Linked DNA regions of Cricetulus griseus. The protein of the gene in region 2 purifies or fractionates together with the protein of the main gene of each other region. This does not show direct contact. Links are inferred from orthologs where the notes say so. Each region holds a gene or a part of one and is shown on either strand. Other genes may lie near its edges. The genes, in order: Vapa and Pitpnm3.

What was found.
Region 1: the proteins of Pitpnm3 (region 2) and Vapa purify together in Homo sapiens (co-immunoprecipitation; 3 studies listed by BioGRID and IntAct, with this or other methods). This does not show direct contact. The link is inferred for Cricetulus griseus from reciprocal best matches to the Homo sapiens genes PITPNM3 and VAPA.

The regions. Positions count from the first base shown.
Region 1 is NC_048595.1:454,539,620-454,543,438, forward strand, and holds part of Vapa (vesicle-associated membrane protein-associated protein A), read right to left. Parts: intron 2,927-3,819; coding exon 2,804-2,926; intron 1-2,803. UniProt on the Homo sapiens protein: Endoplasmic reticulum (ER)-anchored protein that mediates the formation of contact sites between the ER and endosomes via interaction with FFAT motif-containing proteins such as STARD3 or WDR44.
Region 2 is NC_048600.1:85,950,587-85,954,405, forward strand, and holds part of Pitpnm3 (membrane-associated phosphatidylinositol transfer protein 3), read right to left. Parts: intron 501-3,819; coding exon 393-500; intron 1-392. UniProt on the Homo sapiens protein: Catalyzes the transfer of phosphatidylinositol and phosphatidylcholine between membranes (in vitro). Binds calcium ions.

The DNA.
Region 1 (3,819 bases), on a different chromosome or scaffold from region 2:
GGATCAGAGACTGTGCAGAACCACTCTGGTGGCCAATGGGACTACAGTGTTAATGCTGTCAACCAGACAGGTCTAGAATCACCTAGGGCTGCAAAATTCTTTCTTTTCTATACTGGGTTAATCGAGATGGGGCAACAGACCCTAATTGTGAGTGAGTGAGTGAGTGAGTGAGTGAGTGAGTGAGTGAGTGAGTGAGTGGCACCGTCACATGGGCGGGTCCTCAACAGAAAAAAAAAAAGGAAGAGCAATGAGCACCAGCATTCACCGCTGTCTCCTGCCTGCAGACTACCAGCTACTGGTGCTAGACTGCACTGCTCCTCAAACCAAGTCTTCTTCCTGAAGCTGCCCGTGCCAGTACTTTCTGAGGGCAACAAGGGGTTCTAGTGCACAACCCTGACTACCTGACCTGCCCGCACATTTCCCACTTTTCAAGTGTGAAGAGACTTAATTACCTCAATTTGCTCTGAGTTTCTCCTGCTGACATTTGTTCTTTACCGCAATCTCCCTAATGTCCAACCAAGTCCATCTCTAGTATAAAAAGTCTGTACCTGATATATTTTGCTAAAATATTTACTCTATTTTCTTGACAATAATTAAAATTCACTTCAAACTGAGTTTTCATACCCCATCCTGCACAACCCAACCTGAATTTCAAAGGGGAAAGCATGTGCCTCCCTCTGTAAGGCAGGCAGTACTCAACAACAGACGAGTCCTCAAGTGTTGCCTAACAACGAAGACAGTGCTGGGCAGCAGAGCATTTGCCTCACACACATAATGGTCATTGGCTCAACCCCAAGTACAGGAGCAAAAAATGCAGAAGAAAATCATACTGTTGGCCCAGTGTTGACTACAGAATGATATATATGAAGCTAGTAGTGGAGAGAGGGGAATTCTAATGACTTTAAAATAAAAAATTAAAGTCCCAAATAAATGTGGGGTGTAATGCTCACCATTAATCCCAGCAGACAGGGGACTAGGACCATGAAATAAGCCAACCTTAGCACCTCGGGTGAGAATAGGCTACAGTGTCAAGACTGTATGCCATACATTCTCCACCACTGTATTCTTTCTGCCTGTCTGCGGTAGCCCCACACAGAGATTTCCACTGTACTAACTTTGTAGGGGCTATCAGAAAGGAGCTAGGGACTACACATAGAAAGTCAAGGTCAAATCTACAAGCATTTGCAATGCATTCTGTGAAGACAGGAACTAAAGGACATTTTCATCACTGTGTTGAGTAAAGGGTTGTCAATACATAAAGACGGTGTATGGCTATGTTGTCAGAATTAAAGTTTTAATCTGTGAATTGAAGTATCTGAACAACAATGCTCTCTGAATGTTTTTTCTTCCTAATCTAACAGCAAATGCATGGTTTCTCTAGGCCCATGATTACAAAAAAATAATTCCAAATATAAGGCCAAACAGAATTAAAAATTTAGATAAAAGATTTGTTGACAGGTCTCACCATGCAGTCCTAGATAGCCTGGAACTAGCTATACAGACCAGGTTAGCCCTGGACTCACGAGAGTTCTGTGCCTGTCTCTGCCTCCCTAGTGTACATCAACTGCACCAATGCACTCAGCTAATGAAAGGTATTTTTAAAGCCTTATTAGCAGGAGGATGGATCTCTGTGAGTTCGAGGCCAGCCTGGTCTACAAGAGCTAGTTCCAGGACAGTCTCCAAAGCCACAGAGAAACCCTGTCTTGAAAAAAATAAAAAATAAAGCCTTGGTAAGGGGGCTAGAGATGGTTCAACTGTTTAAAAAAAAAAAAAAAATTGGCTGTTCTTCCAGAAGACCTGGATTTGATTCCTAGCACCAACATGGTGTCTCACATCCATCTGTAACCCTGGTTCCAGGGGACCTGATGCCTCTGCTGACCTCCACTGACATAAGGTACAAGTGGTGTGCATACACACAACATGTAGGCAAACACCCACACATGTAAAATGAAATCTAAAAATGTTTAAAGCCTTCTTTTATGTATATCCTATTCTAAGTCAAATCAGAAGAACAAGAACGTATAAACATTTCTGAACTTTCCTGTAAGTAATAAATGCTTAAAAGAATTACACAGAACCCATTCTACCAACAAACTCAGATACCCTAACCTTATTAGCATTCAACGATATACATGCAGAGGTAAATTATGGCCTCAATTTTAGTCAGAAAATTTTTTCTAAATCCCAGGGCATTACAGGTAAATAAAGGTTACTATTCTTGTATTTTCTTTATGCAAACACAAATGCTTGTTGAAAAGCAGTGTTTGCCAGCTCTCACTCTCACTAATTACTATGTACCTTCTAGGCTAATTCAAACAAGCTACAAATTCAATTTTCAGCATATGCTCCCCAAATCTCGTTCAAGGGAAAAGCCACACGAACTCAACAGTGTTCACTTTTATGTCCAACTGTGACTCCACTGACCATTGTTTCAGAGCAGAGCTGTCCCTGTACCTTTCAGCCCTATTGTAATTTTAAAATCAGCTTCAAGTGTGAATGCTGAGGATGGTGACAGTCAGTAGGCTGCCCGCATGCAGAAGTCCTGGGCTCTCTCCAGCCCCAACACAGAACCAGGTGCAGTCTCAGCACTTCTAAGTGGAGGCAGGAGGGTAAGAAGTTTGTCATCCTTGGCTTCACAATGAGTTTAGAGGCCAATCTAGGCAACATGAGATATTGCTTCAAAAAGGCTTTTTAAAATTCTAACCTTTAATACACTCAATATTACTTATCTCCTTAGGTAAGGTATCTACATTAACTTACTAACACTAGTAGACGCCTACTTCTGTTAGCTCCTATGACAAACCTGCTTCAGCTCTTTTAGCTCCCTGGGATCATTCTTCATGTGATAACTGGCAGGTGTTGCAACTGTGTTGCTGACGGTGCTGATTGAAGTGACAGCTGAAGCAATCCCTGGTGGAGTTTTACCCTGAGGTAGCATGGGAAAAATATTCTCAGATTCATACCAAACTGATTTCTCCTGTATGATATTGGGAATGACTAACACAAATAGCTTTAGCCTGTAAAACATTGACATCTTATTCCATAAAAATAATGCATAAGAAACAGAACATCAAAGCAAAACTGGCTTTTCGTATTATTTCTCACACAAAACTAGGTATGGCCTTTTGCATACTTCCACTTAAATGTATATACTTTAAAAACAAAAACAACTCATACTTGTCATTATCTGAAAAATATTCAGCTTCATGTTCTCTTACCTTTGATAACACTTGACGTGAACATTTTTCCCTTGAAAGCTAAAAACTGCTAATGATCTGTAGGCCTCTTTTATTCTCAGGGCCCCGTCACCTCCCAAACACACAGCAGGCCATTAAAACCCAAAGACTGATTAACACTCTGGTTAGCCTATCGTAAATCCACAGTTCCCAACTTACCTCAAGTCCTCTTAGTATAGTTAACATAGAGTAACTCAACAAGGTTGGCACAAAATAGTATTTAACAGACATCCAATCTATTCTGTCTCAACAAAAGTAGCATGTACTCTGAAATACAGAAGGCTCCTGACTCCTGCTCCATTCGGACCCCTTGTTGTCATTAATGCAAAAGCTTTTGCAGAAAGTATTTTACTATCAGATGTTTGTAGAGAGCAAGTACACTAAATATATACACTTAATTAATAAGGAAAATATCAAGTAGAGTTAAGGCTTTTTATGTTTTTAAAACTCAAATTCAGACTGATAGGTTATAAAAGGTCAAAAACAATATAGCCTCATTCCATCCTTAAAAATACTACCAGTAACTGAGGCAAGTGTGGTGGCCGTTAATGAGACTGATTCTGGCAATTAGTTCACAATGTAC
Region 2 (3,819 bases):
CCCCAGTGTAATAGCATGGAGACAGTGGAACCTCTTAAAGATGGAGCTTGGTAGAAAGTGATTGGGCTGTGACTGCCTTGGGAAGGGATTCATGCAGGTCTTGTGAGTGGGTAAGTTCCTGGGAGCCTATCTTATCTAAATGATCTCAACTTTCACATACCTAGAACTCTAACAGTTTGACCTAGATTGCCCCTAATTACCTATGGTTCCTGAGTGCCACTCTATGAACAAAGGAAGTATCCTGTTGAAGTGCCCTGTAGTTGTTTTGGCCTAGGCAACCCCAGATGCCCCCCCACACAGAGAGTCCTATAGGTCCCAGGCACAATGGTAGCCTCTACCCCCATCCTGTAACACACATGCACAGCAAGGTCTTGGGGGAAGCAGAGGCTCACCTTGATGCTCATCCAGTTTCCCCATGGTCTCAATCTGCTCCACCAGGTCATTGGAGCTCCACTGGCTCATTCCAATAAGGATGGCGCTCTTACCTTCAGCCACCTCCTCTGAGGGAAGGGGAGAGATGGATATTAGTAGACAGGGCTGGGTAGGGTTGGCCTTAACCATAGCTGTGTCAGGGAGTACTCATTTCACCCATAAATTGAAATATACTTGAACATTTTCATTTGCAGTGCTAGAGATGGAACCCGGGGCCTTGCACATGCCAGACAAGTGCTCTACCACTGAGCTTCATCCTCCACCCAAGACTTTGACTACTGAAAGAATCTTCACCTACAGGACTAAACTATTGAGGAATTTGTCATTGCAACCATGCCTTGTTGCTGTGACTCACTAGGGTCCTATGTGCTACAGCAAAAGAAAGTGACAACGAGGCAATCATCCACTCCTAGAATGGAGACTGGCATTTCTTGGAAAGAAAGAACCAAAAACTCATGATTTGCCCACAGTCTTTCTTCAGGAATGTGTCTGGACTTCTATGAACCTCCATTTTCCCCATCAGTAAAATGAGACAGGCAATGTCCAGCTCACAGGGTTCTGGGAAGGATCAAATGAGGTGAAGGATTTCAGAGCCTCAGTGCACAGAGGGCACCCAGAGATAAGAGCCACTGTGCTCATTTCTTCTCCTGACAAGTCATTCACGAGCAGGACTTAGGCTGGCTGGGACTGGAGAGCTGCTGGAACAGCTCTGAGGTAAGGAGTGGGGGGAGTCTTCTGGTTCTAAGCTGTATGAACTGTATGGAGACCTTAGCTTCCATCTCAACTGCAGAAACCTTTTAATGTCTCCATTCCTGCTCAACTCCCCCAGCCCTGTCTCTGTACTTAATGATTATTCTGGCAAGAAGCAGTGGGATCATATTCCCTGTCCACACCATAAACAAGCCTCTGGGTCTCCCACCACACATGTGACACAGTCCCTTATCATGGGAAGGAAAAGAGCACACCTGTGGGAACAGACACACTTCTCATTGCCAGTGCCCACCCCTAGATGAGCCCTTGTGGTGAAGAGCTTTGTGCCTTCCTTCACATCACAGTCAGCAAGGATGTTGAGAAGGTTCAGGATAATGAACAATAAAAGCTGATATCTGCCTTTCTGTTAGAGGGTTTCTCCAGCAACCAACATGGTGGACTGAAAGGTTTGGGAGCTGTCCAGCGTTCTGACTCACACTAGCACTCAGCAATTCAGATCTCATCTCTGAAAATGCCTCCTGCCTTATTGTGTTATTTATTTGATTGATTTAACAGTCCTTATGAAACTTTTTCTAGTGATATGGGTATACGTGATTTACAAATATTAATTCATAAGCTAAACATAGTGGTGCATGTCTGCAATCCTAGCACTCAGAAGGTGAAGGCAGGAGACTAGAAGTTCAAGGCAGCTTTAGTTACATAGTGAATTCAAGCCCAGCCCAGACTACATAAAACCCTATCTCAAACCACATCAAGCAAAAAAAAAAAAGAAAATTAATTAAATTCTCACAAAAATGGGACTAATAATGGGGCTAGAAATGGCTTTGTCAATAACATCATGCTACACAAGCATGAAGACTTACAGATTACCAGAACCTACAAAAAAAATAGCATCACATTCCTGTAACCCCAGTGCTGGAAGTTGTGGGGCAGAGACAGGTGGATCCTGAAGCTGCTTGACCAGAACAGCCTTGTCAAATCGAGTTTCAGACCCTGCCTCAAAAAGTAAAGATGAAGAGTCATCAAAAAAAGAAAAAAAAAAAAAAGCACCCGACATCAACCTCTGGTTTCCACGTCACACACACACACACACACACACACACACACACACACACACACACACACGAGCAAACCCACAGTAATGAGTATATGCACCCTACAAACACAACCCAACATCTTATACACACAACAACAACAAGAAGAAGAAACAATGATTACTATCTTTATTTTGTAGACAAGAAAACTGAAAAAAACAGAAGTTGAATAATCCTTGCTCAAGATTTCTGCCTTGCACCCAGATTCAAAACCAGATATAGTGGGAATTGGGTGCACTCAGTTATCCCTAAGCCTGCCATTGTGGCATATATCTGTAATCCCAGCACTTGGGAAGCCATGGTAGGAGGATCATAAGTTTGGGGCCAACCTAGGGTACATGTGAGAATCTGTCTCACAAAATAGAGGGTAAAGAAAGCCCTACCCTGACATTTCACCCTCTCAATACTCTGTCCCAGACATCCTGTATTGGTTGGCCTCATACACCTGGACAGCTTTCTCAGCCAGGTGTGTTCTTTCTGGTGACAAGTTCACACCTGTTAAGTAGTATCTAATACTGGGCAGAGCTCTAACCAGCTTCTGGTGTCAATTGTAAAAGCTATGAGCTTTGTTTTTGCACACACACACACACACACACACACACACACACACACACACACACACACAGAGGTAGCTCTCCAACTCTTCTAGCAAGCTGCCACAGGGACAAATACTATAATAAACTTGAAAGAATTACACAAGCTAAAACACTGTAAATATATAAGGTGGTGTTATCCTTGAAGAAACAGAACCACAAAGCCAGGCATAGTGGCACATGCCTTAATTCTGTCTCTTGGCTCAGTTGGTTACCCAAGCAAGCAAGTATTCCTTTGCCCATTTCAACAACCATGCTACAGCGAATAGACTCCTAAGCACATAATGTGTGTGTGTAGGATGTTTTCTCTGTCCCACAGGAAACCAGTGATGTGGAGGACACCACCATAAAGAACTACGATGTGGGAAGACCAGAGAGTGGAATGCCAGGTGCAGTGCCAGGTAGGTGATCATTACATGCTAATTAGTGATTCCTATAATGCAAGAGATTCCACCCCAGGGGTGTATGTGAGGCCTTTAGTGCCCTTGGGGGTCTGAAAGGGCTCCCTAGCTCTGAGCATGCTGACTTCTATATAACTTTCTATTTCTTTCTGTCTCTCTCTCCCTGGTTCCTATATGGCTCAATTCCCTTTGTTTTTGGTCTCTTGTCTTGTTTTTGGCCAAACACCTCTTTCTTTCACAAACTCAGCACGATCTCTCCTGCCTGGTTTCCAGTCCCTTCAGCCCAAAGGTGGGCTCTTTGGGGTTCTCTTCCCATGAGCCTGTACCTTCCATGGTCCTTGAACTTGGCTGTGCTCTCCCAAGACTTCCTCACTGTCTCTCCCTTGTTCTACCACACCCAGTATCTGTCCCCCTCCCCTGCCTCTGGGTCTCTCCTTTTCTCTGAGAGGAAGGGCCTGTTTAATCTCTCCCATGTCTTTGGAGTTGCATTCCTTCTGCAGGATCTTGTCTCCTCCTACTTAGAGTCCTCACTCCATATGCAAGGCTTATCCTGCCCTTTGCCCTCTCCTCTTCTGGATCACTGGCTGT